Mytilus edulis: one gene and its partners. The protein of the gene in region 2 purifies or fractionates together with the protein of the main gene of each other region. This does not show direct contact. Links are inferred from orthologs where the notes say so. Each region holds a gene or a part of one and is shown on either strand. Other genes may lie near its edges.

Region 1 (11,839 bases), on a different chromosome or scaffold from region 2:
TAAAAAAATTGTCCATTGATCTTAGACTTATTGTTGGGTTGCTGTCTCATTTGGGTTAAACTCCCCTTTTCACTACATACCAGTTGTTCATCATATACAGACTTTTAAAACCTGTTGAATTTTACCTTGCAGTCAGACGAAACAAAAAAGTGATTTTTCAATGCTATTTTTAAACACAATGTAAAGGGAAAAAGATAATAAATTTAAACAGACAATGTACAAATGTAATATTAACAAGGATACTTTAAAACAAGATCATTAATACATTTGTCACTTGGGGGTTGACAAAGTACAATTTCATTAGTAGAGGCTTAATGTCCACCCAATGACAACTTATATGAGACACTTAAGCTAATCAGAAAGAAACTGTTTAATCAAGTGTCGAAACTGTCATGTGGCTGGCAGATTATTTACTATAGCTTGAAATGATGTTATTACTTTGTTTATCATGTTTACCTAGATCTTAAGCCAACAGAAATTTCTGCTTATCAAATATTGGTACAATACTGACTTCAGTGTACACTGCACACTGCACGGTGCAGGTTTATGGTCTATTCTAATTTTACGACATGTATGGTTTAGATAGGGTGGGGACAGTGGCGGATCGATAAATTTTTATAAGGGGGGCCACTGACTACAGAAATTTCTGCTTATCAAATATTGGTACAATACTCACTTCAGTGTACACTGCATACATGGCATACTGCACAGTGCAGGTTTAAGGTATATTCTAATTTTACGACATGAATGGTTTAGTTAGGGTGGGGACAGAGGCGGATCCATCAATTTTTATAAGGGGGGCCCACTGACTGCCCTAAGTGGGTATATTTTTAGCAATTCTTCATCTTAGTCAAAAACTTGTACTGTCTGTCCAAAAACCAAAGTACATGTACATATAGGTCTATCAATTTAGAATGTAGTGGACCAGTCAGTGTGGTGGTTCTGATGGCCCACTAAAAGTTTGTAATAGTTCTGAATCTTTTAAGGCTTTTCCTGTATCTAATTTAGGTCCTACATTTGTAAGTATAATGTACATGTACATGATGCCAGTGATTTATGACCCCATTTATGACCCCAATAAAAGCCCAGCATTTAATGCCAGGCATACTGATGATTTTTCAGACCATGTCCCAGTGTGTACTGTACCGGTCGTCTGGTGCATCAAACTAGTGGCTAATCCTGAAACTTTGGGACCAGAGAAAAGAAAGATAATCTTTGAATTGACATGATTGAGGTTCAAAATTCATAGATTCTAGGCATCACATGGTCCATGTTTACAACCCTAGAAGACCTTGACTTTTCTGATGATATAGCACTCCTGTCATCAAAACAAGACAATATATTATGCAGGAAAAGACAAATCAGCTCAGCCATTTTGCAAGCGAAATTTAATTATAACTGAACGCAAAAAGACTCAGGAAATTCAACTAAACACAACATCAAACTTAAGACTAAAATCTGAGGGCATAGAAACCCAACAAGGAGATAAATTTACCTATCTAAGAACTGTCGTTAATACAGAAGATACAACGAAAAATGTTAAAAGTCATGAAAGTAGGCTAGCTAAAGCAAGATCTGCATTTCAAAGACTACCACCCATTTGGAAGTCCAGCCAATACAACAGAAAAACAAAGATAAGGCTATAACAGTAATGTTAAATCCATCCTTCTGTATGGCCATGGGGGTGAATGCTGGAGAGTAACAAAAACAGATATACATGTATATAAGATCGTTCTAAAGTTTTAATCACAATTGTCTGAGGCAAATTTGTAAAATCATTTGGCCAAACCTTATCACAAATGAACATCTTCTTGATAGGAGCAAGTCCATGTCACGCTGTATATCCTCAAAGAAATACAACAGAGGCCCTTCAGATGGCTGGGGCATGTTCTCATGATGATGCCTGTATCCAACATAACCAGGACAGCTCTAAGATGGACACCCCAGGGGAAGAGACCAAGAGGAAGACCCAAAACAACCTGGCGTCGAACAATTGAGGCAGAACTGAAGGAGGTTGACATGACATGGAGAGAAGTCGAAACAAAGTCTTAAGACAGATCTGGATGGTGAAATCTTGTGGCGAACGTGTGCTCCGCCAGGAATGAAGAGCATAGGTACATGTAGATAGGTAGGTAGGTAGATATCATAGAAAATGGGACATAAAATTAGGATAACCTAACCAGACAGATTTCTGATTAAGACAGGTGACCCTTTAAAACAAGGTTGACTGATGTAGGAAATTCGTGTATTGCAAATGACATCAAAAGCCATACATTTTAGCAACATATGTATTAAACGGTTCACGTCAAAATATGCATGTATACTACATGTAAGTAATAAACCAATATACACGTAATCATAAACCACCACAAACCAATACCTAACCTAACCAAACCAGGACAGAAAGACACACAGACAGGAAGAAACATAAGCCTCTACTTTAATACAATGTACATGTAGGTGGGGCATAAAAAGTTACTATCTGTATGAAAACTGAAGTTTTATACAAGTCAGAGATCCCATCAGAATTTCAACATTTCAAGTGCACTGTTCAGAATAATTTTGAATGTAAATGTATTGTCAGAAGATGTATGGTATACAATGGTTTAGGTTAATATCTATAAATGAGACAACAACCTAATAAGTTGATCATAGGCTTAAACTATTGTCGAGATATTAGCCAAGGTAGCTTTAAATGTAATCATAGTAATATACTGTATCTTTAAATCTAAATGGTCTTTAAAATCTAAAAGATCAGCTGAAAGACGCCTCTGAGTACAGGAATTTCTCGCTGCATTGAAGAACTATTGGTGACCTTCTGCTGTTGTCAGTTTATATGGTCGGGTTGTTATCTCTTAGACACAATCCCCATTTCCATTTTATTTGCCACCAACACTTTTGTGCAGGTTGGGCCTTTGCCTTGCAAATTCTTAATCTTTTACAAGTCCTCAAATATATTCTATGATATGGAGAGTTACATTGCAACTGTAGTTATACATGTAAATACAATGACACAAACAAGATTCTATGGCCTGTCAATAAGTTATTATTTCATTACACGAACAGAGGTGGATTTTGGGCCCCCACCCCTTTTCCTGGGAAAAATTTGATTGATTATATAGGGTATCACTGAAGCATGACCGGAGCATGCCCCATCTTAGGCAGTCAGTGTGCCCGCACTTGTGAAAATTTCTGGTTCTGTCACTGCAGGAGATCGACATGATGGATGGAAGGATGGCTGGCTGGGAGTATATCAAGACAAAACAGACTGAAATTTCTGGTGATATTTTGATCACAAAATTCTGGTTTCTACAAAGCTGTAACAGCTACAAAAAAAAATCCTTTACATATTCTATAAGAATGTTTTAATTGTGAGAAATAAATGAAGATAGAAAACAAACTTTATTCAAATAATTATATATGGTGAGATGTATAGATATATAGATCGATATTGATTGCAGGTACATGTACATTTGTACAAGGATAGATAATATTTATAAAGGTTGATGTTAATAATTTATAGGGGGAGTTTTTTTCTCATTTGCTTTTCCCCGACAAATGAGACTGTAAAAATTGGGGCCCCCTTAGTTGCTTCCCTGGGCAACTGAGTGTTGATGTAAAAGGTGATTGTTAATAAAATATGTTTAATATTAAAAAAAAAAAAAAAAAGAATGTTTTAATTGTTTAGCCTAAATGGGTTCTTTGAATCTAGTATGTAACAGGAGGGTAAGCAGCTATAAGTTGCTATATCCTGATGTATACGAAGGGATCTGAATTTAATAACCAAAACACAATAACATGACTAAATCTAAATTTATCAAGTCCTTTAGGTTAACTGTTGAAGGGCCCTAAAATTGCATACAATATTTAGTAGGTAGCAAAAATAATCTGACATTCCTTTTTAAATCTATTTCTGCATAAATTTTAAATAATAAAAATTAACTATATATTTCATTCTTTTGGTTCATGAAAAAAAAGTTAACCTTTCAACTGAACACCATCAAGTATATCACTGTTTGAGTAAATCAAGAGGGACAGAGAACGGTCACGTGACCAAACAGGGAATTTGTGTATTGCCCTAAAACACATTTTGTTTACTTTACAAATCCACAATTTAAGACATTCTTTCATGTTTACAAACATTTTTAAGTTTAAAAACATTGTAAAATGATAATAGTGTAACTGTTTAAAATGATCAAAGCTCGTAGCGAATACACAAAATCACTGCAGTTCTCATTATGGCGGCGAGATCAAAGGAATGGTCAAAACTTTTGATTGCGTATTTGTTTTTTGATTGAAAGAATAAAGCCAATGAAAAAATCATAACTTTGGACATTTAACTTTGAACGATCTATTCTTTAATATTACTAATTATCTAATTAACATTTAATAAACAAGGGGACGGAATACACACGGTATCTTTGATGTTTTGTGTACACTACTCCATCTCAGGTGATGATCTTACCTTTGATTATGGACAGACATCCGATTATTAAATATAATTTTGACACCATCCCCATCCTTACGGACAGATGAATGTCTGTAAAAACAAGAAAGTCCGGTCCCAGACATTAATAATGTCCATAAATTTAGGAACGGTAAACTTATTTAGGTCACATTTGTATTTTTTGAGATCATTGGCAGCCATTACAAAATTGACCGGAACTATAAAACATGTTGTGTATTACTCCGCTTGGCAGGTGCCCGTGATTCGCCTTTGTTGTAAACCGTTAAGTAAACATTTATATTTCCAATCCATTAACGAAAATCAGTTGTGTACTGCATTCATTGTTGTAAAATGGACACGAGAAAAATACAAGACGAGAATCCAAAAGAAAAATGACTAAAACGGGAAGCTAGTTAGTTAGCACTATTTGCATGTCTAAGAAAAGGTTAATCATAACTGGCACCTGTCAAAAAATAAAGAATGGGGGTTTGTTTGAAATCAGATTATAGAAAAATCGTAATTACTTAAAAAGATTTAGTCACATATTTATCATATGTGTTATTACATATTTTTTGCATGTGAAAACAGATTTATGACATTTATAGGATATTCGTTGCCACTTTCAATTAATAAAAGGATCTTGGACAAAAATAGACTGAGTTACAAAGCTAAGATGACTATAAGAAAAAAAACTTTAGGTAGAATTTTATCAGCTCGAGGATGGACAGTTATCTCTCGTACAAACCCGGCAGGCCTCGTGATTAAATTCCTCCTTCCAACCCAAGCCCTATGCCTCCAGTGGCGGATCCAGAACTTTGTAAAAAAGGGGGTGGGGGTGCACTGACTGACATAAAAGGGGGCGCTCCAGTCATTCTTCAGTGAATTTTCGTATATAATCAACCAAATTTTTTTCCTACACAGGCGGACCCGGGACCCCCAGGACCACCCGCCCTCGAACACCCGCCCCTGGATCCGCCTATGCCCTCACCCTTATTTAACTCCTAAAAAATTGTCATCCCCTAGTGACAACCCTGAACAATTAATAAACGTTTGATATTTTTCTAAAGTTGTTGCAACACGAAGGTATTGCTCTTTTTACTAATCTACAAGAAAACCTTTTTTTCCCGACTCATTGAAGTGGGTCAGTGGATGGGGATCCTATAAATATATCTGTATTTTCCGGTCATCAGTTTAAGCTGGGACTAAGTTATACTAATTTAGTATATAATAGTTGGGACTATCATACTAATTAGTATAATAGTCCCAGGTTTTGGCCATTTTTCTATATTCTTTATTTGTTGTCCATTTTATCTATTCTCTCGTGTTTTGTGAATTTGTTTTATATTTCTCTTTTTTTTTCTTTTTCTTTTGTGTATATATTATTCTCTATTTTGTAGACCCCAATACACATCCTCATAGAAGGACTTAGACAATTCCGAAAGGGACAACATTAAAACTGTCATGAAGTCCAGGGGCGGATCCAGCCATTTTAAAAAGGGGGGGTTCCTAACCAAGGACAAAGGGGGGGGGTGGGTTTCCAACTATATGTCCCCATTCAAATGCATTGATCGTCCAAAAAAAGGGGGGGTTCCAACCCCCGGAACATCCCCCCCCCCCCCCCTTCTGGATCCGCGCCTGAAGTCGAAGAATGGATGGTGAAAAGTGTACAGTGTATTTTTACCCATTTTTCTCTATTTCATATACACCAATCCACACCATCATAGAAGGATTTAGAAGAACCGAAAGCGGCAATATAAGTCGCGGAAAAGGGGTTAAGAAATGGATGATGTAAAAGTGTACATGCAGTTTTTTTTTATTTTTGTAGAGCTGAACCTCAAAAGAAAGATGCGTTTACAGTAAATTATAAGATGACCACACTTTTATTTAACGTCAGATTCTCTTTGTAAATAGCAGTCTTACACAAAAGACTTTTTGAATGAAGACACAGAGGCATTAATCATTTGGTTATTCAGAGGCTGACCCAGCGTGGTTTGGATTTGTATTTTTAGTACATTTTGTGATTTGTAACTACAGCCTATTTTTATTTTCTGCCCTTTTTTAAAGGTAAAGATTTTTTTGCCGGGGCCTTTTACATGTTTTATGTGCATTATAGGATTTACTCATTGCTGAAGGCTGTACGATGATCCATAGATATTAAAACTTCTAAGTCATTTCGGGTCTCTGTTGGCGCGATATCTCATATCGGCAATCATATGCTCTATTTTTTTTTATATCGACAAAAAATAAATGTATAGTGTTTGTTCAGACTTTGTAACTTATTGTTTCCCGTCTAACATAATGTCTGATGTGGAACTATAAGATCAATGGAGTTCATTTAATGGAAAATAAAGTTACCATATTTTTCACTGTCCAGTATCATAGACAAGCACGGAACAGCGAAAATCGGCATCAAATTCAACATTTGTGGAAGGCTATCATGCAAAGGGACGTAATTCAAGTTAAAACGCAAGACTAACTAGTTAAACTAAACGAACGACACTAAAGAGCGTATCAATCAATCAATCAATCAATCAATCAATCAATCAATCAATCAATCAATCAATTTAGGAATATGTTCTTGATTTTCATGTCGTCCGTGGCAAGTAACCAATGCATGGTTAGGACAATCGAATAAAAACAAAATGAAACCAATATACCTTTTCCAGACAACTATCAATAGGAATTAAAGGAGATAAGGGACTAAAAGTCAGCGGGACAGCAACCTCAAGACAAAATTAATCAATCAAAATACATTTAGAGGACAACATACGATCTTGAAATATATATTATAAAATTGAGAATGTAAATGGGGAATGTGTCAAAGACACAAAACCCGACCATAGATCAGACAACAGCAGAAGGTCATCAACAGGTCTTCAATGCAGCGACAAATTCACGCACCCGGAGGCGTCCTTCAGCTGGCCCCTAAACAAATATAGATATAGGAAGATGTGGTGCGAGTGCCAATGAGACAACTCTCCATCCAAATAACAAAATATAAAAGTAAACCATTAAGGGTCAATGTACGGCAGGCGCCTTCAACACGGAGCCATGACTCACATGCACCGAACAACAAGCTATAAAGGGCCCCAGAATTACTAGTGTAAAATCATTCAAACGGGAAAACCAACGGTCTAATCTATATAAAAAACGAGAAACTAGAAACACGTATAAACTACATAAACAAACGACAACTTCTGTACATCAGATTCCTTACTTAGGACAGGTGCAAACATTTGCAGCGGGATTAAACGTTTAAATGGTACCAAACCTTCCCCCTTTTCTGAAACAATAGCATAACAACACAACATAGAAAACACACAATAAAATATCAATTGGCAGGTTTAACTTAATAAAAAAATATACATGTATATACTAGTTCAGTGATAATGAACGCCATACTAAACTCCAAATTGTACACAAGAAACTAAAATTAAAAATAATACAAGACTAACAAAGGCCAGAGGCTTCTGACTTGTGACAGACGCAAAAATGTGGCGGGGTTAAACATGTTTATGAGATCAAGCTCGAACTCCATCGTCTTTGGTCAATATTGAAAAAAGATCAATATACAATATACACCAAACTCGATTTTTTTTATGTATATATGTGTAAACTAAGACAACTTATATAAACACTTACAGGTTCCTGGTCCTGGACAGGTACATGAATATGAGGAAGGATTAAACCAGATTTTGCTATTCTAAACCCTCCCCTTATTAATCTCGATAAGTTGACCAAATGAAAATAACAACACATAAAAGAAACCGACTTAAGCTACCTCCGAATTCCAATAGGTTACAAAACATACAGATTAATGTACGTATACTTACACAGGGGCAAAATCCGATAACCATTGTGATTTCGACATGTTACCATAAGAACCCTCTCAACAACAATTTTTCGTCGGAATTTTCCATAGGTGTCCTGCTGCTTGACAAAATATTACACATAACCAAACATGCGCTGATTTCCTATGGTGACACATAAATAAAATCGTTTTTTATGACCAATTTGAGAATCTTACTTAACGACATTTTCTTAAAATTTTGACAAAGTATTACTTTGACCCTTTTACAAAAATATAAAAATTTCAAAAAATTTGAACCAACCATTTTATCAGAAAAATTACACTGGTTATATAGCAGTTTGACAAACACTTATTTTGATCATTGAGAAGCTTAATATTCCCTTAACAACACAACGTTATTAAAACGTTTAGCTGATTTTACAGAGTTATCTCCCTGTAGTGTTAGGTACTACCTTAAGCCATCGAAAAACACTACCAGGAGGAGTTTCTCTAGAATTGAATTAAGAATGAATATGGGGAATATGTCAACGAGACAACAACCCGATCAAAGAGGAGAACACAGACAGGCAAGTCCACCAATGGGTCTTCAACGCAGCGAGAAAATCCATCTCACAGAGGCGGGCTTAAGCTGGCCCCTTGCCAAGATTGTGTACTATTTCAATGAAAATGGACGTCACCCTAAACTCTGAAACATGTACAAATGAACTAAAATTTAGAAAAAAACTAAGCAAGACTAATAAAGGCCATATGCTTTTGACCTTGGACAGACTCAAAAATACGGACCGCAGTGGTCCTTTTAAATATCCCTTTATACTAGTATTGTGGTCAAAAGTTATGCCCCTCAGTTATCTGTTTACATTTTTGTTTTTGTTTATACAGGTGAAAACTGAAGTACCTTCTTCATAAATATTGCCATGATGCCAAGGACTAGCAACTACAGGCCGAAAAAAATTAATCGACTTAATCTAGAGTTACCCCCCTTAGTTTCCTCATAAATCGTTTGTTTTAGTTTTATGTTTTAATATAAATTCAACGTCGTTGACCATTTGGCATAACATACAGGTCAAGTACGAATATGACAATAGACATTTACCGTTTAGAATCAGAAATGCTGCGGGATGATGTACGAGATCACTGAAAAGGGAGACAGAGGGTTCGCACGCTCTTGGGATGCGTGATATAGGAATTTAAAATGAAGATGTAGGATAATAGAGAATACAAAAAGTGGATATGTGGGAAAGAGGGTTAAGAAATAGCTATAGGATCTATGAAAAAGTGGCAAGTTGATAAAAATTACAAAATAGAGATCATCTAATTGTTTTCTTATACTGTTTTGCCCTCAAACACCAAATTGCCTAATTTGTCATATGATATCGTTTCCTATTTAATACGATACATGTCAAGCTGTTTGATGATCTATTTTTAATTCGTTTGAGTGCATGCAGTTAACAACCAAATGACTAGACTTGAATTTGAAATCTAACTGGAGTCAAGAACATTGACCATTGAGGTCAAACAAAAAGTGATAACGGTAAGATTTTGTTAGTTTGTTTGTTTGTTTGTTTGTTGTACACTGCACACGTTACTTCACTAGTCGTTGAAAATGTCGTTTTACTTTTGTATAAGAGAACAACCACTTAAATTCAGGATAAGGGGGAGTGTAGTTATTTGTCTGAGTCAAACATTTTTTTCGCGCTTTTATTTTTAGTTTTTCGACGTTATCAGTCATTTTTTTTCAAATTTAACACTATAAGGTATGGGACAAAGGGATAAAAACTGGATTCAGAATAAAAATTTTTTGGAATCTGCTTGACCACAATAATTGTTTTTATCAAATCATGTATCAGAATATCTTTTAGGAACCCCCCTTCCCACCCACCAACCCCACCCCAACTTAAAGTTAAATGGTGGTTCCTTTGAAAATGAGAAGATGTGAAATGAATGCTAATGAGACAACTATCCTCTAAAGTTTAAATTAAGTGGTAATAAGAAATGACAGGCCAAATTATGGACTTTAACAAGAAAAAAACCATACCGTATAGTCCGTAATTAAAGCCCCCGGTCGACATGAAATATGTGAAACAATTCAAACGAGTAAAAAAACAGCTTGATTTATCAAAAACAATTAACGAACACACTCAATACGACAGACATGAAACAGCGACAACCACTGTACAACTGCATGGCTCCTGACCTGACAAAAAAGTGGCGGGGTTAAACATGTTTATGAGCGCTCAACCGTCCGTGGTGTAACAGTGCAACGTAAGAACAAACTGTAAAATTATAGTTGCATTTCGCTTACCCCAAAGATGAATACAATCGAGGCACATAAAAAACTAACATAAAATTAAACAATAGACACAAAGCACCGAAAAGTACTCGAACTACTAAAATCTGAAAGCTAGTTCATAGCCAATGACTAACACAGTTGGAATATTCCAAGTTTGTTTTTTTGTTGGGGGGAAAAGGGGGGGGGTAGGAGGGGTGTACACCCTAATATGGCAGTTGGAGCTGGGATGAACATATTTCTTTATTACGCATATATCACCAATTAGATAATGCGCCACATTTAAGTTATCTGTGAACCCTATATGTATAAATATGAAATTTTCTGATTTATCAATCACCGGATAATTATTCATATCAGAAATTATGATTAGATAGTGATGACGACATAACTCGGGTTTTGACCTGATTAATTGGTTAAATAGAGAATTTTACAGACATTTGGTCTTTTCAGTATAAGTAAAAGGTAAGTATTGGATATGTACTTGAAAATACGGGAAATAAATTGACCACTTGGAAAAACTTGTAATGTAGATGTATTTAATCACTGTTTAAGGATTCCAGAATTTCTATCTTGCGTCAAAAAGTGAAAGGGGCGTACGCGTATTACGTACAGGAATAAGGACATTGGACTTTAGTTTTGTCTGATGATTATCATGATCACTAAAAATCATATTTGCTAGAAAAGTCGTTTGATAAGTTTTAGTTTCTGGGAAAGTATATCAAATTAAAAAGGAGAAAGTAAGTATTTCTTTTTTATTCCAAGCGAATTATATGTTTCAAATATGTCTGTAATAACCCATTAGATTCATGGATTTTTTTAAAAATTGTTTCAGAAAAACACATCTCATAAACGTGTATCCAACATAATATTTTTGCCCATAAGTGGTCGTTGATTTCGGTATCTCAAACATATTCGACCGACTATTAGGAAAAGCATGAAATATTTATATCGAGGAACAAGAATATCTTTTATTCTGTCGGTGCTGTGTATATATGCAAAAGCAGTGGCGGATCTAGCCATTTTAAAAGGGGGGGGGGATCCCAACACAGAGTAAAAGGGGGTTCCAACTATATGCTCCCATTCAAATGTATTGATCGGCCAAAAAAAAGGGGGGTTTCAACTCCGGAACCCCCCCCCCCCTGAATCCGCCACTGAAAAGAGAGGCGAAAATACCGATTAAGGGAAATTCAAACACATAGGTCGAAAATAAACTGAAAACGGCTGGCTAAAAAAGAAAAAGACAAACAGACAGACAGACAGGCATACAGCAATACACAAAACACAACACAGA
Region 2 (11,408 bases):
CTTTGTTGTTTAGTTTAAACAATATTTATTCAGATAAATCAACATTAAACATATTATACAATGAAATAATATTAAGGATTCAGAAACAAGCAATTTGCTTTTACAAATCTGTCTCTTTGTTGTTTAAAATTCAATAGGTGTGTTCAAGTTTCAATGAGGCTGAATATCCATTACATTCAATGTTTTTTTTTCTTTTTTTGGAAATGTACATTTGTATATAAATTACTTTGTTACTTTATACATGTGCACATATTTGGTGATTCAAGAATTATTCAGAAATTACTTTTTTAAGAATTTGGATAAAAATTGCTATACATATTTGGTGTAAGTGTAAGTACATTTACTTTGGCCAAATAAAAATAAATGTGTTTTTCCTCCTTAAAATTGTAGTTGGTAGGATGGTAATTAGATATTTTTTTATTTAGCTCATTTCAACTCGAGTATACAGGCCTAGGGACCGTCTCCAATTTAGTTAATATACATACTTCACTATCACTGTGCCAATAAAACCCTATATTAAAGGATAGTCATTTTGAGGAAACAAAATATTGTAGATAGGGAAACCATAAACACTAGTATTTTATATTTTGAACTTTAAGTAGTTCCCACTTTTTATTTTAAACAAAAGAATTGAAGGCCATTCAGACATTTATATGTGGACTTCTTCACCAGGGTCTGTAGAGTAACCTTCACCTTAAATTCAATAAGCTAAAGACTAAGCACAACATAGTGTACTTACTTAAATGGTTCATTCACAACTCTCTTCACACAGGTTTTAGAAGCACTGGGTGGACCATCCATATCACAACATGACACATTATTAAGTTCCTGATCTTCCAAAAGAGTAGGAAGAGGCCCTGAAACTGGACGTACACTATTTGAACCACTAGTACTAGTACTTTTTGGACTTCTTTCACCTTCCTTTTGAATATATTGAACAAAAAGATCACTTTTAAGGAATAATGGATATGTATTTTTACGCATATGTTCCTCTACCTCCATCTGAGCCTTGTCAAATATCCCCTGACCAGCCGCAAAAGTTCTTTTTTGAAGTTTTTCATGAATATAATGCCTAGTCAGTTCTGAGATGCATGGTAACTTATCAGTTTTTATATACTTTTTATGAATAGCTCGGATTATGCTTTGTATATTAGCTACATCATCTGGAGGTTTTCTCTTTAATCCTTCACATGCAAAATAAAAATCCACAGAATAACATTTAAAATCCTCGTTTTCTAAAAACTGTTTAAATAAATGGACACCATCTCTGTCTTCTAACAGATAACTCAAGTTCTCAGCCCATTTCATGTACGGCGGTGTACTATTCTCAGTAAAAGGAGGAGAATTGGACACACTCCCTTCTGGTTCAAAACCAAGGGGGGCTGTCATATCCTCGTCGTCTACACAACAACTTTGGTTAGATATGAGAGACTTGTCTTTCATAGACCGTCTTGGTGTAGCAGCAGGTGAATGTGTAGTTATATCACGATTTGATCCACCACTCTTACACGATTTGTTACTTTTATGAGATTCACTACTTTTTGTTGATAATCCGCCGTTTGACTGAATCTCATTTTCTTCACCTGGCACGGGTGGCCGTGGAGCAGTCTCTGTAAAATTACTACCTCCACTCTCTGAGAGAAACTGGCACACCCTGCTAGATGTCATGTTGCTTGATACAACCCAGCTTTGGGTTTCTGTCAGCTCATCTGAAAATGAAACATGACTTTTAAAAACTGTTACTTTTAAACATCTCAAGAACAGAATTCACACTGAAGTTTAAAGAAAGTAAAATCAATTTAAGATTGAATAATTTTGATGGTGTTTATTGCCTATTGAGACCAATTTCTAGTGTACATGTATATTATGCATAACACATTGATGATACTGCCAAAAGTGCATTTTACGTTCATGCAAAATTATACTCTAACCAGCTTTTATCATCCTAAATCAATAAAGGACAACCTAGAATCTTAATCAATGAAGTGTTTCATGGGTCAGAAGAAATGCAGAATGCACTGACATGTATAAAACGATTCAGTGTTTAGATGTTTATCTGTTTCTGTGAACTGTGAAGTATTAGAATTTTTCTAATAGCACAAATCAACAATTCTTTTCCACACAATTGGCAACAACTTCTATTATCTATTGAAGATTTATCTTTTGATCATTAACTGCAGAACATTTAACATGCTTTTTTCTATAATGGTGCCATGTCTTTTAAACATTACTATAGAACATTTGAAGTGCTCTTTCTTAGATGGTGCCATATCTCCTTATCATTTATGCAGAACTCTGGGTTATTTTTTCTCTCTTGTTTGTCATACAAGCAAATACTCATTACCTGTTCAGTATTGAGGTTCAGTTTTCACCAAAATCTTTTCCAACTACTTGTTGGAATACAAATATTTCTGTGTCTTAACAAAGTTTAGAAAAAACTAATGTAATCCAAATAAAATATTACAAGTCTGTGGCTTCAACCGTGTAGATAAAGATGCACTAGTACTCTGCCCTTTTTCTAATCAGAACTCCATCAATATACAAAATGTATTATGAACTCTGAACAAAAATAGTGTTAAACTGGATAAAATGTTATGTTTATAATCATATGCTTTCTACTCGTTATCTGTTTGTCAACAATAGAGGAATCAGCCTGCAGGTACATGTAAGTAAAACTCATATTTGAAACCTTTTGAAAATCAATGGGAATGATATTTTACGGAAAAAATGATTAAAAAAATAAACAACATAGGACAAGTAATACCGTTACAGTGAAGATAATGTTGTATTGTGTCAGGGGTGTCTAAGTTTAGTTAACAGTAGTGTATAACAACACCATGAGAAAAACAAAATGTAGTTCAATGGTATGCAACTAATGCAAGGGTTTATAGTTTATACACAATGTACTAATGTCAAATACCTCAATCAATTTAACAACTGGACGATTTAATGTGATGTATAAACTTAAAACATACATTTCAGCTGATTAATGGCTAAGAAGTTATTTTCAACCGTCTTGATATTAGAAGCAAGATACAATCCTAACAGTAAAGACAAGAGGCGGCCATTATGATAAGTCTTGGGGTACTTAAAAGGGGACATAATTTATGTGTTTAATTATACATCTGGCATCTAAAACAACATGTATCGACTGTTAAAGTGCACAATTACATATCTAATGACTAAACAGAAATGATGGAAACAAAATCAAGACTTACTTTCATCAACTAACGACATCAGAACAAAGTATTATTGGGAAACAATGGCTAAATTGCATTGCTATTCTGAAGCGTTCGCGCACCTGTCGAAAACGGTCACTGAAACACCAGATATTAAAAAACACCACAGTTAAATCCCAAATGAAATTGCACGCAGCAATTAATGTGTGTTAAGGAAGTGTGTTTAATCCTCAAATGAAATAATTTCACTAAAAACACAACCGAGTTATCTCCTCATAACATCCCACGAAACAAAATGGCCCCTTTCAAAAGCTGTGTTTATACGACATGGTGATATGAAATTTAGCAGATGGTGTACACTTCGAAACATACCTTAATAAATGTTTCAATTCGTGTGCATGTCGGTCAAATCAGATGCTACAATATTAATTTGAAAAGTTTGAATCTTCAAACATCAAAAGCCACGAGCCCGCCGCCGACTATCCTAATACAAAGTGACGTCACAGTTCTTTTGAAGAACCGCACCAATCACAGACGAGATAAAATCAACATTCACAAAAATGTTGTGGATTAGTCTAACATGTGGGTAAATCAATGTTAATGCGATTAACATTACAATTAAAATATAATTATCTATTGTGTTTTGTTGGCATTTTTTTTATTTGATCAACACTATATTTGCATCTGATATATAAAATAAGTAGATTTTATTTACAATAGCATCCTAAAAATATGACCAACTAAACATGAGCCCCCTCAAATATATACAAATGGGAAAAGCTTCCGATAGCAACAAAAGTTAGGAGAGAATGGACTCTTAGAAGTAAATTCGTGCTGTGCTGAAGCTGTTCGGGATACCTTCGATAAAATGATGAAAGTTTACAATGGAATAGCATATTGCTGAGAAATATTACATAATCTTTTTGTAAATACAACACACCAAAATAACACGCGGGGTATTATATTAGTCTTTCATCTTCTTAGATAATTTACATTTGCCCCTATAAATTACATCGGCGTGCCTTAGGCGATATGTGATGGTCAATGTATTACACTAGTGTTATAAATCTATAACTTTGTACGTGAAAAGGTTGGTAGGAAGAGAGGTAACGGTGAAATAAGATTATTATTTAAAAAAGTATATATATAGTTACATTTTTTCCTTCTGTTAAAATGTTGACACTGTGGTTCAGAACTAACCAGGGTTTGAAAGAAAGACATTATGAAGAACTTGTTAATCCAATCAGTACGATTCACAAAACATAATTACACGAACGAATTAATTATTTTAATTGTTACGTATGTTCAGGTAAACATCAAAGGAACCGATCGCCTTTGTTCTCTTTGTGGGATAATTACGGATTCGTCGATATCACCTATCTTGTTATGATCAATTCACTTGTTTTCCTACAGAGAACTAGTAACTTAATATTTTTAATTCGTTTTATCCCAAACACACTTTTTATAACTTTAAAGTAGATTTATCAAGCGGCGCTTAAAGGAAATTCAAAGAAATTAGAGTAATAACGCCGGTGATACACACAGGTAGACTTTATTGACTCTTTGTAGTTGGAGATCAAAGAGAAATTTGTCATTATGTCATGCTTGTTTAAACTCGGCTAGGTCGTAATGGGTTACCTTAAAACTTTATATTATTCATTGATGTTTGTAAAGGAAAAATTATTCTGTGCTCTTTAAAGAAACACAGGGAATTATTATGTTAACCAAATGTTGTTTCTCACTCCCAAATTGTAATTAGAAAGTTATTGCAAAAGGGAATTAAATGTTGAAATATAAAGTTTATTGTTATTAAACATTCGGCATAGTTTATCAAAATGGAAATTTGACACATCAACAAGGAAACTGCTTACATATTTTTCTGTGGGGCACACAACTAAATAATTAATACTGATGCACACAAATCTTTTCTTTTCATTGGACATCAATGTTTATGAATTTTGATACCAGGAATTACTTCGGAGTGAGTTAACAGGAACTAATTTTTTTAACCACAATTTGACGTTTTGGATCAATTTTGGAATCACTTTTTCATGTACATTTTACAAGAATATCATTTTTTGTTAAAACATTAAAAGATCCCCCCCCCCCCTAGAGAAATAAGGAAGATTTTAAGACCGACCTCTTTCTTCCGAAAAGTATTAAGATTTTCAAGTCCAACCACCCTATTTCTCCGATTATCACACATATAAGTGCATGTCTGAATCACCGTTGAAAAGCAAATCATAACATTACACTTATACATTTGTAGGTAAGTAAGTAATTTTTATTGGTTTGAAATAAAAAATTACAGGATTGATACCAAGACAATACACATTTGTTATACACATACAGACATATATCATACCAAATTCATCAATATATGTAATAAATATACTGTAGTAGACGCTAGATTAAAACTGACGAGGGAAGGTAACACATGGCCACCGAAAGCTTTATTATTGTGAAGCCAAGGTGGTCGTGTGATCTAGCAGGACAGCTACAGTGCAGGCTATTTGGTGTCACGATATCTCAGTAGCATGGTTCGAATCCTGGCGAGGGAAGAACAAAATATTTGCGAAAGCAAATTTACAAATCTAACATGGTTGGGTTGATATTTAGACGAGTTGTATATACATAATGTACACAGCCATGTATCACCATCATTGCTGGTGATCCGATGGATAAATCTGTTGTAGAGTTGTCACTGACTCGTCTGAATAGTAGTCAACGATTTTCCCCACGAGGGCGCTGGATCGTTACGCGTAACGATACATGTACACAATAAATAAATTATATAAACGCCTATAAACTCCAAATACAAAAAAGGTAACTATAAATGTAATTATTTATAAATATTTCGGATAACAGATATCCTTCATCGGTATATATGATTGTGATGTTAAATGAATCAATTATCAGTCTACTTAGATTAAGCTGTTACAATCTTGAAATTTATACAATAAAAAAGTCAAACCGAACATCAGGTAAGACGCTTGCACAATTCTAAAAATTTGTGCTAGTTCATATCGCACATTATTATTTTTCTTTGAAGCATATATTTGTACTCTCTGATGTAATTAGTCATATAACCTATGTGGTGTTTAACAAATTTTTAGAATATAAGGAGGTGATGGTACTACAAAGTTATTTAGTACTTAATAAAGCATTTCTAGAAATGTACATGTCACTTATAAATTGGACAACAATTCTAATTATATCAGTCTCACCACACGTATACAAAATTTAAATCTTGCTTCATCAGTCATATTTAAAAAGAGGGCACTATTTCGCTTATTTCAAAAAACAATTGGTCTCTATAAATTATATTTAGTTTTGTTCATTTTAAAGTGAAATGAAATTCATCTTCTACTTCTTTGTATGAAACTAAATGTTTAATGACCATATTTGTTTCTCTCCAAATTTCACCATAATCTACCACCAGAGACATATGTCTCTACTACTACGAGGGGTTTTAACAGCCTTGACTACCAATGAGAATCTTGCATGGTCGGACATTCACAATTAACGAAACGGTCCTTCCTTATGTTAAACACTGCATATAAGAATTAAATCGGATCTTGTAATCTAAGGGTCATATAAAGATGATTCTGAAAATTTGTTATTTTTTACATTGGGAATAAATTATGGAAAGTTATTCCATTTTTTTCACATTTTTGTCAAAATTTGACAAAACGGCAATCAATTGCATGAGGTTATCTCGAACAATGATGATACATGCCATACAGTAACAGACTGAAAGACACGGAGAGTAACTTTTACAGAGCACCACAGACTAGTGGCAGGTCCTCAATTAATTGATAGTGGTACAATAAATGATTCTCAAATTTCGGCAACACTTCCTATTGAACCAACTTCGCCGATATATGTCTATTACATTAATATAAAAAAAAAGATGTTGTGGCATGATTGCCAATAAGACAACTCTTCACAAGAGACCAAATGACGCAGAAATTAACAACTACAGGTCACCGTACGGCCTTCAACAATGAACAAAGCCCATACTGCATAGTAAAATATAAAAGGCTCCGCAATGACAAATGAAAACAATTCAAACAAGAAAACTAACGGCCTAATTAATGTACTAAAAAGTTGAACGAAAACAATTATGTAATACAGCATCAAACGGCAACCACTGAATTACAGGCTCCTGATTTTGGACAGGTACATACTACTAGTATATGCTTTAGCCTTATTCCACCAACGAAGATTGTTCAAAAGGAAGTCTTTCACAAATTTCTTTACGACGTTCACAACTAGGTGCGTGCGACATGGTTCTAATGTTGCTGTCAGCTAATATATCTAAAACAAGAACAAGTCTCTAAATAAGTTTTTGTCAATTTCTGTCTCTTAGCTAAAGCCTTCAATAAAATTTTGAGAATGGAAATGGGAAATGTGTCAAAGAGACAACAACCCAACCAAAGAGCATACAACAGCCGAAGGCCACCAATGGGTCTTCAATGCAGCGAGAAAATCCCGCACCCGGAGGCATGCTTCAGCTGGCCCCTAATTAAAAATGTATACTAGTTTGAGTGATAATTAAATGGACGTCATACTAAACTCCGAAATATATAACTGAAGAAACTAAAATTAAGAATCATACAAGACTAACAAAGTCCAGAGACTCCTTCCTCACTTGGGACAGGCACAAACATGCAGCGGGATTACACCTGTTTTTTGAGATGCATGTATCTTGGAAATGTTTATAAAAAAATATATGACGTACATATTCCGATTCATTCATTGCAACTAAAGCTTGAATGAAGGACGACTATACTATGATATAATGATTTGAATTATTGAAGACGAACATATATTAATCAATATGTTATGTTTTCTATTTTGTAAATTGGAAATGTAATCGTAGTGACCTAAAGCTATAATCAGAATACAGCCATGTCATAAGTATAAACTCGGTTGTCTCGTGTTCGCCTCGAGTACGGAACGTAACATGGGTTCAATCCCTGGCCGGGTAAAACCAAAGTCTTGAAAATTGGTTGCTTCTTCACCAAGAAAGTGGCGGCATCAGGGAATAAAAGCAAAAACTTGGAGTCAGAAAAATGTGTCCGCGTATATAGGGTTACATGTGTTCTGTAGACTGTTACTTTGTGAGCTAGCACATTAAAAATCCTACTCAGTGTATTGGTCTAGTACAAAGAAACACGTTCTTGCACTGAATGTGCGTCTAGTTTGCCACTAGACCGGTTAAACAACCGCCATCTTCATCAGTACTATTTAGATTACAGATTTTATAGAATTGATACATACTTTCGTCAGAGACATATATATGTGTATATATGTCTCTGCTTTCGTATAATAAATTGTATTTAATACTACAATCTATTTAAAAATACAATTTCCCTCACCGGGATTCGAACCATATGCTACTGAGATATCGTGACACTATATATATACAAACGAGTCTAAATTGAAAACTACGTTCAAACCTATGACTGCGTTGGATAAAAACCTCAATTTTTATACGTGTGCATGTAAAACAAATTTCGTTTTAGAAGGGTCTAAAAACAGCACAAACAACATTTTCCAAAAGACCCAAAAAGTGAAAAAGTATATTTAAACAAAACGCATTTGACTAACAGGTCGAACAACTGATGTTCTTAAACCCTGCTGACTGCCATTGGCGATTGCCAAATAAAATTGATCACGAGATGTAACAAAATGGATCTTAATATAAATTTAATACTAAACATAAAACGATAAACTTGTGACCAAGATGTCATGCCACAAACACAAGGTATTAATATTTTTTTTGTACACCAGATCTAGATTTCGACAATAAATGTCTCTTCAGTGATGTTAGGGATCGAAACGGTATTTGGAAGGCCATATAATTTACCCTCAATTTCAGATCGACTCTTGAATTTTGAGAGTTAATATATATAGGATGAACGGATCATATAAACCGGAGGGAAAACATGACACAAGCCCAAACGAAAAAATATAAACGAGTCTAAATTGAAAACTACGTTCAAACCTATGATTGCGTTGGATAAAAACCTCAATTTTTATACGTGTGCATGTAAAACAAATTTCGTTTTAGAAGGGTCTAAAAACAGCACAAACAACATTTTCCAAAAGACCCAAAAAGTGAAAAAGTATATTTAAACAAAACGCATTTGACTAACAGGTCGAACAACTGATGTCAGTCTTAAACCCTGCTGACTGCCATTGGCGATTGCCAAATAAAATTGATCACGAGATGTAACAAAATGGATCTTAATATAAATTTAATATATATTGTTTGTGATTTTATAGGGTTTTTTTTGTTTTGACATTAGTTGTGTATGATCAAGTTATGTAGGTCTATTAATACGGATACTATAAAAAGCAGTGGTTTTTTTTTTACTTAAAATTGAGAATGAAAATGGGAATTTGTTCAGGAGACAACAACCCGACCAAAGAGCAGATAACAGCCGAAGGCCACCAATGTGTCTTCAAAACAGAGAGAAAATTCCGCACTCGGAGGCGTGCTTCAGCTGGCTCCTTAACAAAAATGTGTACTAGTTCAGTGATAATTGACGTCATACTCCGAAATATATAAAATAAACTAGAATTAAAATTTCATACCGTTGAAGACTAACAAAGACCAGAGGCTCCTGATTAGGGACAGGAGAGAAAAAATTAGGCGGGGTTAAACATGTTTTTTTAGATCTCACCCCTCCCACTATACCTCTAGCCAATGTAGAAAACAAACACATGTAGCAATACGCAAAGTAAAACTTAGTCTAAAAGAAGTCCGAGTTCAATGTCAGAATAGGTAAAAAAAGTAACTAAACAAAATGACAATGTTCCATGAATTAACAAAGGACTACTAGCAGTTACTGACATGCCAGAGCCAGACCTCAATCAAAGTGATTGAAAGATTATGTCTGCATCGTATGTATATCAAGCACAATCCCTCCCGTTGGGTGTTGAGTATCACATATCACCATAATATGAGACTTCTAGAAAGCGAGATGTAAAGTCTAGCGATAAAGAACCGAAGATTTCAAGTAATATATATGGTGGAATAAGGCTAAAGTCCAGCGCTCAAGATGTACGATCTAGCGCTGCAGATGTAAAATCGAGCGCTGTAGGTTTTAGGTAGCAATACACATTTAAGACTTTGGTTTTCACTCGCGGCAATTCGGCCCCGTTGAATAAATTGTATTGCAATTGGACAAACTCACTAGGGCGGAATTGCAAAATCCAAAATCCTAACTGTGTATTGCTAACTAAATAAAATTGAGAATGGAAATGGGGAATGTGTCAAAGAGACAACAACCCGACCAAATAAAAAACAACAGCAGAGGGTCACCAACAGGTCTTCAATGTAGCGAGAAATTCCCGCACCCGGAGGCGTCCTTCAGCTGGCCCCTTAACAAATATATACTAGTCCAGTGATAATGAACGCCATACTAATTTCCAAATTGTACACAAGAAACTAAAATTAAAATAATACAAGACTAACAAAGGCCAGAGGCTCCTGACTTGGGACAGGCGCAAAAATGCGGCGGGGTTAAACATGTTTGTGAGATCTCAACCCTCCCCCTATATCTCTAACCAATGTAGAAAAGTAAACGCATAACAATACGCACATTAAAATTCAGTTCAAGAGAAGTCCGAGTCTGATGTCAGAAGATGTAACCAAAGAAAATAAACAAAATGACAATACTACATAAATAACAACAGACTACTAGCAGTTAACTGACATGCCAGCTCCAGACTTCAATTAAACTGACTGAAAGATTATGATTTCATCATATGAACATCAGGCACAATCCTTCCCGTTAGCGGTTTAGTATCATACCATCATAACATATATGAGAAGAACATAACCCGTGTCATGCCAACAACTGTTTTTAGAATAAATGTGTTTAGTTTCGATGCAAAGACCTTATCAGTGACTCAATATTAACGCCAAAATAAAACCTATAACACATAACATGGAATCAGTATAAAGATGCCCCAAACAATCTAAGAAAAGAACATGACTCTATACAACGCCAAAACAAACGTATCGACAGGATGACAATTAGGACCATAAATGTCCATAACGTTATTTTCTTTGTCACCATGTTTCGTGAAAATTGGTGTATTTTTTCGATCATCGTGAAATTGCCACCCCCTCAACACCACCGTTTTCAGAAGATTTAAGTATTCACATGAGTCGCAAAAAATAAATTTGAAATCAAATTGTTCAACGGACTT
Region 3 (10,851 bases), on a different chromosome or scaffold from region 2:
TTATCAATATCTCTTAGGACATTACGATTCTGTGGTAAAATATAGGCAGTATTATGTTGGTATACTATAGGGCTGCTTGATATTTCGTGTCTACCAAAAGCATTCACATCATGGATATCGGGTTCTAACTTGATCTTCTTAAAGTTACTAAATGCACTTTGTTTTGAACTGTACTTTAGAAAGTCTTCTTGCATCAGTAACTTTTAGTCTGCAAAATAAACACAATAAAAATATAACAAATTAAAAACAAACTTTTGAGTTTGACAGAAATCATGTATTGTAACGGCCTTTGAGACATGCATCTAATATTTACGTTTTGTTCCTCCCCATCACACTTGTAGCATTCATTTTGATTTTACAAAAAATGTGTATATGAACATTTGCACAAGTGCCTACTATTAAACTAATTTGAAACAACTGAATGCTAATAATCATTGCCAATATGAACTACAAATGTAATTTAGTAACACCTGCTGCAACAAAAAAATAATCAATTCAAGCATTGAAATGGAACAATTTACATGTATAATATGCACTAATATCATATATATATATGTACAATGGAAACTACAAATCCTTCAGAAATATGTCACATTGAATTGTATATTATATACAATGTATAAGTATTTTCAGTTTAGAACCACTATTGTTCTGTCTGCACCAGTGACCTGTTTTGAGTGTCAAACATCTGTATCATCTACAGGGCTAGTCTAGAGGATACAAGAGAGTAATACTATGAAGTGTATTTCCAATAGGATGTTCCAAATTTTATTTCTTGAAAAATATAGGTAACAGTTATATTGTAGTTACAAATGACAGTTTGTTTTTTACAGCAAAAAAAAAAGTTGTAATAGTGGATTAGCAAATCTAATAAGACTATTGTGACCGACATGTACATGATGTATCTGTAATTCAAATGTTCCTAAAATAGGAAGTGGATGGACATATAATATACATGTAGCAGTACATGTAGCATTTCAATATCTTGTTATTTATAATTAACAAATAAAGTTAACGTTAGAACTGGTTCATTTCTACAAATAAAACTGTATTATAAATTTTACAGTTTTTAGATTTCAGATTATTTTATAAATTTTTGGATGTTTGGTAAGGCAGATGAATTATTTTGTGAGAATTATAATATTAAATTGTCTATAAACTCAAGGAGGTTATATTAGAAGGAGAGAGGACGAAAGATGATAATTACACATAAAATGTTACCGACTTTTCTGTAAGTGGGTGTTAATTAGTTGAGATCGACTCAGTCACAGAGGGAGATTTTGTCCTAATAACATACCCGAGTAAGAACGGAAACACCTGAGGTGTCATAAACTGACCAGATATACAATTATTGAAATATTAATCAGATTTTTTGTGATATTTTTTATTAAGTACTTAAAAATTAAAATTTTATGTTAAAAGTAAACTTATTACCAATAGAAATAAAACAAATATCCGTCTCATTGCCGTCAATGTTAATATCAACAGTCATAACAGAAAGATGGAAAGTCACTTTTACGATGTTCCCGATAAATTTCTCTATGTTTCAGTTGCAAATATTCCTTCCGGTCGTTACCGGTCACCGTAACTAAAGTACTTTGCATATTCGTATATTTTCTATGATTATTACCTGCCAATTCTCATAAGCAGAAATTGACAGGTGAAGCGAAAATCTTTGTTTAAAGCAATGTAGTGTTGAATAAAAATCGCTCACTAACTTTCCTTTAAACCCTTATAACTTTGTCATTTCTTTATCTTTTTTCACCGTAGACAGACGGTTGATTTTGAAATTGCGCGTCAAATCTTTTTCCAAATCATAAACACCTATGCACTGCACTGTAACTAAAAATACACCTGAACTTTAATGACCCAGTCACTTAAAACAATCATGTGACATATGCGATTTATCCAATAGCCAGAACTACTCGCGGTAACAGCCGGGTACATCAGAGGGCCATGTCAAGTGGTTGATAAACATGTTGGTTTCTTTATATTTTTCTCTGATCGAACTGATATCCTGGGGGTGCTAATTTTGTATCAAGCAGAGTGTTCACTCTCCTTCTAATATAACATCCTTGATAAACTTAATGTCTATCAGTTCTATAATGTATTTTTGGAAGTTTGCAAATGAAGCATCTTTTTCAAAAGATGAACAATCCTTACCTGATTTACTGACAACTTATAACAAGTTGTTGATAACTTCTTATCATTGAACTAATTATTACTTCTTGAATTGATGTACATAAAATTTCTTTTACTAGTTTTTACCCCCAAAAATTATACTGTTATTGCATGTTGTTTCATTTATTTATAAATTTGTGATATTTTCAATGAAAACTCACCTAAACTATAATTTCTGACAGTTCCCGGTTATTTCCTAAAAAATGTATGGAATAATTCCCCATGAGGCAATTTACGTTGGTATCCGGTCTATTTGCTCTATTTACACCCTGTGTTAGTTAACACCTTAAGCTTACACATTTGTGTCCTAGGTTTGTTCACACCCTGCATATTCGCACCTTATTTGGCATTATTGTTATATGTTTAAAATTCATGCATGATTGTTGTGATACGTACATGTATACATTTGTATATATATGTTAGATGGGGTTTGTATTGCTCAGTCTTTACAAAATGTAGTTTTTTATGTTGGGTTTAAATTATATATTCACATACATGTACTGTTTTTTGAGTTTTGGTACTGCTTTTTTCCCATGTTTATTTTCGATTTATGTTTGCATTTGGAATATCCCATTGTTAGCCTCTCTTGAGCAATTAGCTTAGGTAGGCGGAGAAAAAAAATCTAGTTGGGCATTTTTTGTTGTAACAGTTAGCTTGATATGATCACGAGTAATTTAAAAACAATGAAAATATTTATCCTGGAAATGTCATTGTGACAAGTTAAGTTTGATTATTATAGATATAGCCTTCAGCTCCCTCCTTTTAAATTACAAGTCTTGTAAGAGGGTAGAAATGCCCTTAACAGTCAGGCCTCAAACAAGCATTTTCCACTACTGTTAGTATCAAATTGGTTAAAATTATGCTGTATTTCTTCATAGGTCTCAAATAATTATCACTGTTGTAATTTTGGGAAACAAATTAACGCAAATTGATTTTTTTTATCATCATGCACCAAAATTGATGTTGAAGCCATTTGCCAAGAATTTTTATTGTTATTCCAGTTATTCCCAAGCTCCATCAGACATCTGGCAATGTCCAGTAAAACTTCATCAATTACTGGGCAAAATGACCAGTGTAGATGCAGGAATTTTGTTATAATCATATATATATGTATATAATGCAAAAGACTGCTTAAACACTGATTGGACCAGTAATGCTTGAAAACATACTAGACCAATTAAATGCAAAAGACCACTGAGGACTGAGAAATCTTTGGAACCTTCGCTATTCATTATGTCATTATGAAAGTGCCCCCATTTCGACCCTGTTATAATGAACGAACTTGGTCTTTGATCATCATGACAATATTAATTATTCAAATAGTTCACAAAACACTATAAACATGATAAAAAGAATCGGTCTACGAAAGTAACGTTTGGAGGACTTCACTTATTTCAGACAAAACCTATAATGTCTCCATTTTACAGTAATACTCCAACTCAAATAAGATTAAAACAATGTTTTCAACACAAACCTTTTTAAAAGGGTGTGATCATGTCAGGGTCTCAGGGAGCCACATGTTTCTTCACATTTGTTTAGTGGATTGTCTGATAAAGGTGGAATTTATTAAAAATAATGACCAGGAGTCGGTTTCACAAAAAAACTAAGATTTATCTTTAGTATACTGAATTGTTCATGTCAGACTTACATGTATGATCAACCTTAATATTAATATTTTAAGGGTTTTATTTGGGGAAACAGACTCTAGACTTCCAATACTTTATTATATTTCACATCCTTTATGTTTAATCAAAATACCTGGATTGGGTTCCTATTATGTATACCAATTGGAAGTCTTCAATGTAAACACTCCTACTGTACATGTGCCCATGGTGCAATATTGCCAATATACCTGAGCATGATCAAATTACCTGAATATTTTCAAGATTTCATGAGAAGTTTTCAAGTACATTGCAACTTTCTCACATCAGATTCAAAATTATTTTTATTTTTTTATTAATCTTTCAAAAGATATATAAAGAAAACAGTTTATACAAGACATAACACTGGTTACCATTAACGTAAACATGACGAATGTAACCTTGACTTGAAATGTGACCCCGATAAACAAGGCGGAAATTAACCGCACATTGCAACGGTTTATTCCGCATATGGTCATCTGTAATTCCTTATTTTCATTATTTATCTTATTATTCAACAAATCTTACCTTTCCTGAATATAAATCCAGTTATAAGAGCACCTGATGGTATGTGTGCCCACTTTAAATGACATCAACAAAGAAGATCAGATTTTTGTTGTCGATACATTGGTATTCCAGTGCGTGTTTTGTTCCGTTTGAAGCAGAAAGTAACCCTCGTTTCACTAAAATTATCAGTCTGTTTGCTTCCCCCTTGTCATAAAAGATTAAAAAGTAAAATCATGTAGTTCTCTTCCCCGAAATATGTCTCAATATAGCCATTTTTCGTTAATTCATTCCGTAATGCTTTCGGGGGATCAAGTCGAATTCATGTTGATGAGACGTCGGGGATTCACATTTCGATTCCGATAAAATATATAGTTTTGGTTTTCATTTTTGTTTACCATTTAATACACGTATTATAATTGAAACTTACGCTTTTATTATTTTGGGGTATAAAAATTTCATTAAAAGTATTTTAAACTAGTTTATAATAACAAAATAATAAATGATTTTGAATACGAAAATGTGGCTACGAAATTTGTTAAAGAATTTCCCATCAGGTTCTCAACCATGACGTCATAGAAACATGTGTAGAAAGTTGGCCAAAATAACATCCAATCAGACACAATGACTATTAAAGGAATTTGCATTTTGCGCCAAAAGCCTCTGCAGTTTTCTGTTTCAGAAGGAAAAAACTTCTAATATATACAAAACATCATATAATCATACCGATATACAATATACATCATCAGAATTATATTTATTTCTAAAAACTAGAGGCTCACCGGCTTTATTTACTGATATGATATCTAAGATAATCTATTATTAATAACCAAACACATCGGACAATTTTTAACTAGATACCGTAGTGATTATTGTGGCCAAGCTTTTGTTAAATTTAGCCCAGTAGTTTCAGAGGAGAAGATTTTTTAAAAAGTTAACGGACGACGACGACGGGCGACGGACGATAGACTCCAATGATAATATTAATCATGATCTCCGCGCCTGGTAAACCATCTAATCTCAACCAAATGTTGAGACGGGGAAAAAGTATTCTGGCACTTCCTGTTGAGCTTTACTGGTTCAAAATATCATCAAAATAAACACAGAGTAGGTCGACTTTTCGTCAATTTACTGCAAATCAATGCGTTTTTTTGTAAAATAGGAGAATGTCATGCCATAGATAATTGAATTGGGGTTTGTCTGTCTCGTGTACATTAACACGGACCAATATGATTTAAAATGACATCGGAATCACGGACTATTCTCCAGCAGGTAAATGTCGCCAGTACAGTCAGTTATTGACAAAATGACAGTGATATCATTGATAAACTAACATATATATTAGTAAATTAGTATTTTTCTAAACCTTACAAACCGCATAAAGTTACAGTTTGTTCTCTTTTTTTTTACTTATATAGTTTTATTAAGCTAAATATGTTACAAAGTATGTCATGTTGAGATTTTCTGGTATTGGTTGAGATATTCTGGAACAATGTTGAGATCTTCTGGTGAAAGAAATTTTCTACTACTAGCTTTATAGTATATCAATTACATAAAAACGGTCAAAATTCATAAACTTGTCGTGATTGTTTGACATTTCAACTGTCGTTTTAATCTTGTCTGTAGTTATGACAGCATCTTCTGAAGAGACATTTGTTGTAATATAGTCTATTATACAACCTGATTTCGCCATGAACTCATCACTATTGTTTTGAACATGTTTAAAGTCGGCTACTCTCAACATGATCATCAAGACCTCACCAAGACAATACCACGACCATACTTTATCCTGAAATAATGTGTAAGAAAAAATAAACCTAAACAAGTTTTAAACAATTTTATTTCTTTATAAATGTACGCATTTTCGGCATTGAATATTTAATGTCTGTTAGGAATCGAATTCATCCAAATCATATTAATAAATATTTTTAAAATAATCTTATTTATACTTGTAACGCATGCATTTTTCTATCGGCAATTCTTAAAATTGTATCTGTATTTAGATTTTAAAACATACTACAGAGAGAAAACATAAATCAGTTTAACCGTAAAAAGGTAAACTCGAATGGTACACTGATAAAGTTTATTAGTTCATTTTGGGAAATAACTTTATTTTTACAACAGAAATTACATTTTAATTAGTTGAAATAACCTCTAGCATAGATGTTTTAATAGTTTTTATCTTTGTATTGTAATAATGCACGCGTGTTGGATTCCTAGTCGTAGTTAATTTGAACTTTGAAACCTCAGCGCCCATGTTTTAAAAAAAAAAATATTTTATGGCACAAAGTAACCAGAAAGTCTCAACATTGTGACAGAAAGACTCAACCAATACCTTTATATCTCAACCATTTAGAATTTTTCATTTTTCTGCTAAGAGTAGGCTTGACAAACAAATAGTTTTGCAATTTACAGACGTGGTTATCGTAAAGCATTTAAAATTTAAAAAACACAAATAATTGACAAATTTTCTTGCTAAGTCATTGTTATCATAGCAGTTCTATCGGATTCAAAGAATGTAAACATGATAATCCGTAGGAGGAAAGTGATTGTGACTTCAATTTCAGATATTTTGAACCAAGAAGAGATATATAAGTTACAACTATTATTTATCTATGGCATGACATTCTCCTATTTTACCAAAAAATCATTGATTTTCAGTAAATTGACGAAAAGTCGACCTACCCTGTATTTATTTTGAATATTTTGAACCAGTAAAGCTCAACAGGAAGTGCCAGAATACTTTTTTCCGTCTCAACATTTTGGTTGAGACTAGATGGTTTACCAGGCGTGCTATCTATATAAACTAGTGTATTGAAAAGTTAATTACTTTGAAACTGAGAAGCGAACTCCTTTAACAAGTCCAATTGTTACATTTAATTTAGTTATATGTTAACTGCATGGTCCAATTGTCATACTTGCTTCAATAATATGTTACCTAGTCCAACTGTTCTATTCAATAATTAATTGCACTTCTACCAGAGGTTGAACTACAAATTATCAAGGAATTGTATAAATATAAAATTCCTTGATATTATACATTGCAGGAAACAATTAATCATAATTATCTAAGATAACGGAATTCTTCATGCGTGATGATGAATGTGAATGAATACATGTTACATAATTATCATCAATCGATCAAATATTATTATCAGGGGCTTGCGGTATATTTACATCTACCAAGTTGTGTTATGCTATTCCAAGACCTTAAGAATAGAGAGCAAATGTACAACTCTTCAGGTATATTAAAATTCCATGTCCATTTACTGTCAACATGTATTTAAATAAAGAAAGCGTACTTATCATGCTTGTATAAAGGTTTCGGGTTCCAATTTCAAATGTTTAAATTGATGTGAAATATTTAACAGTGAACATAAGAAAACAAATTCAAATTGCCACTAAAAACCTATAGGGAGATCTCATTCTGTATGAGTTATTCGTTACCATTTAGATCTTGTGGTCATTAACGTTAACAGTACGTTAGTACTTTTATTTATTTTTTATTTTGAAGTACATAATTTCTTTTTTTGTGTGTATTATGCCAATGGCATAAACAGTCGATTTCTACGTTAAAACATACTTTTGAGCAATCATCCAAACTTCGAACTTTTGAACTTGTCAAGTAATTGATGTTCAATACCCTACAAATAAGTCATGCAAACAACGTTTTGTAAAATCGGGTAAATTTTATGCTACTCTATCAATTAATTAATCCATTTTTTTTTAAATTAGCGCGAACAAAACAACATTTTGTGATCTGCATTTTTTTTTGATAGAAAAAAATCCAAGTAATTTGTCTTACTTGTTTAACCCAAGCAATGATTTAATCTTCGTTTGTTTTTATTTTGGCGAAAGAAGGCGATGCGTATTTGTTCAAAGCGACATAACCCAATATTTTATTGGTGTTTTCTAGCTCTCAGCGAACTAAAATGAACTGTCTATGCTAGGCCGATTACACTAATTTTGAAATATCTAACGAAAATATCCCATCTAAAATTACCAACACAATATCACTAATAATGTTTTATATAACTTCCTTTCGTGTACTTTTAAGCAACACGCGGAGCAGGATCTGTATACCTTCCGGAGCACCTAGCTGAGATCACCACACTATTTTGGTGGGGTTCGTTTTTGGATCTCTTTCTTTTGTTGCCTCGGCGTATATTTTCGACTTATGATTTTTAATGTCCCTTTGGTGTCTTTCGCCGTTCATTTGGAACGACACACACTTCAACTAGTGTGAAAACATAATGTAAAGACGGATCTTTACCATGTTTACTGCGTTTGACAAAAGCTATGAATTGTAAAAGTACTGGAATAAATTTCTTTTTCAAGAGCACAGTTGGTCTCAATCTTGAATTGTCCAAAACGAAATTTTGATAACATGATAGCCCCTATTGTCCAATAAATATTTTGTTACTGATTTAATAACATATTTCTAGTTCCAGTAGTTATATTTTTGCATATTTATCCTATTTGTATGAGAAAAAGCATTTATCATCATATTTAGTTGCAAATTGGTAGTACTAATAGAGACCACCGTAAAGAGACATACGTTATATTTACTTATATCAGACTTATGAGATATACATTTAGGAGGGTCTGGATGGGTTTGACAACAGAAAAAAATGAATAATGGGCAAAAGTACCGAATTAAGGGCAATATAAACACAGAAAATAAGCCGGGGGAAAAGCAACAACAATTTTGTGTTTAAATATAAAGAATAGAGGAACATGGCTTAGAAAATTAAAGAATACTGTGTTGGGGAGCCCTTCTCCAGACCTTCATATAGTGCATTTGTCATCGGAAAATTGAAGATATTTTACCTAGATTAATTGTTAGTTGCCATTTTTGTCCTTACGTGAAGTATAATTTATAGAATTCGTGTCGCATCACCGGACGTCCCTGATGTGCCTTTCGATATATCATTTATCTAAATGAGAAAATTTCTGTATGATATGTTTGTGTGTATCATGTATTTAAAAAAGGTTTCAATTTTTAAGAAAAATGTTCAAATTTTTCAGAATATCTTTCAAGAGTGTTTACCGCTAATGAAAATTTTCCTTGAAAAGATTTGTGTATCCATATTTAAGTACCGTCAAGTTTTAATCAGTTTGGAAAACGGAAACCTTTCTCAACGATAACTTCCCCATAAGTTCAAGAGGGCATTAATGTTATCAAGATTAATTCATACAAGAAATGTAAAATTTTAAAGATTTATAAAAGCCCTTAATAATGAGGCAGAAATATTTAACCTGTTTGTGAAAGTGGCGGGGTGCTATGAATATGTTTGTGAAAACACTCTGGAAAGTAGCGTAACAACACAGAGAGACGTTACTAACTACTTGTGCCTAATCCATTTGTCCTTTTTGGACATTAAAAAATGTTTAAACTAGACAGCAGAAAAAAACAAATCTGTATCGTGTAAATAACACATCGATAATATGACCGATTAAAAAAAAAATCTCTCAGTTTTTATTATTTTATTTCTTTGAAAACAAGATCATTTGGAGAGAAAAACAAAGAGTGTCATAAATACTCTACGCTCGGCACAAGCATATAGGGATTTAATCTTACATTATAACTGAACCAGCATGTAAATGTGGATTGGATATTGAGACGAGCCATGTTTTCTATGATTGTCCTTTCTATTTAAATGAAAGGGCCATTATCTTTAATAACCTCAGCTGGCTTTTCAAAGTCTTCAATTTTGACTTTAAACTTTTGGTATTTGGAAAAGAAACACTCTCCTGTGATAAAAACTAGCAAATTGTTATATAAGTCTTAAATTCAATAAAAAGACCAAAACGATTCCCAATAGTATAATTACCATAGGCAAAATACACAGCACCATCACCCTAATGTATGTCGTTTTTTCTTTCTTCCCTTTTCTTTTTGAAGTATTATATAAATGCATGCTCACATTAAATATTTTAATTGCTATATATTTTGTATTGTGGTGACTGATCCTTTTTGCTGTGAACAATTTAAATATATGTTTAAACTATCTAACTATCTGCTATAACCGCCAAAGATCAATTTTAGAAAATGGCCTATAGCTATTAGCTTGAAAATAGCTATGTATAGGATTTTCACAAGTTTAATAGTTTTTGTTATAAGTGAGGTGTAGGTAAGACTATCCTATTAAAGTATACCCCGCATATGATTTCATTCATGTATTAAACTTGATTGATGGTTTCGTATCGTGGTAACTCAAAGAAATGGTTTGATATGATATTTTTAATCAGTAAAATATGTTACAAATAAATTTTGCTCTATATACATGATATGAAAACTAATATAATGTATAATTTGAAAAAAATGGAAATACAATCTATCGGTCTAAATTTTTACAATTTGTTCAATATATTTCTAATAAACAAATTTCAGAAACAAGATTGTCAGTTCTATGCTAGTACTCCACTCAAAAGAACTAACTACGTAATAACTATAGCATCTAAAGCCTCCTCTGGGATTCCCGTGATATTCATTCCAGACAAGAGTTCCATGGAAGCTTGAACC

Evidence for each region.
Region 1: the proteins of axin-1-like (region 2) and low-density lipoprotein receptor-related protein 6-like purify together in Homo sapiens (affinity purification with western blotting; 7 studies listed by BioGRID and IntAct, with this or other methods). This does not show direct contact. The link is inferred for Mytilus edulis from reciprocal best matches to the Homo sapiens genes AXIN1 and LRP6.
Region 3: the proteins of axin-1-like (region 2) and homeodomain-interacting protein kinase 2-like purify together in Homo sapiens (affinity purification with western blotting; 3 studies listed by BioGRID). This does not show direct contact. The link is inferred for Mytilus edulis from reciprocal best matches to the Homo sapiens genes AXIN1 and HIPK2.

Annotation. Positions count from the first base shown.
Region 1 is NC_092350.1:70,035,261-70,047,099, reverse strand, and holds the start of low-density lipoprotein receptor-related protein 6-like, read right to left. Parts: upstream 4,684-11,839; 5' UTR 4,521-4,683; coding exon 4,466-4,520; intron 1-4,465. UniProt on the Homo sapiens protein: Component of the Wnt-Fzd-LRP5-LRP6 complex that triggers beta-catenin signaling through inducing aggregation of receptor-ligand complexes into ribosome-sized signalosomes.
Region 2 is NC_092352.1:5,754,710-5,766,117, reverse strand, and holds the start of axin-1-like, read right to left. Parts: upstream 4,607-11,408; 5' UTR 4,401-4,606; coding exon 4,334-4,400; intron 3,712-4,333; exon of another isoform or gene 3,238-3,711; coding exon of another isoform or gene 3,219-3,237; intron 1,710-3,218; coding exon 740-1,709; intron 1-739. UniProt on the Homo sapiens protein: Component of the beta-catenin destruction complex required for regulating CTNNB1 levels through phosphorylation and ubiquitination, and modulating Wnt-signaling.
Region 3 is NC_092350.1:42,813,063-42,823,913, reverse strand, and holds the start of homeodomain-interacting protein kinase 2-like, read right to left. Parts: upstream 4,684-10,851; 5' UTR 4,350-4,683; intron 209-4,349; 5' UTR 195-208; coding exon 1-194. Other genes in the region: E3 ubiquitin-protein ligase TRIM45-like, read right to left, coding at 10,767-10,851.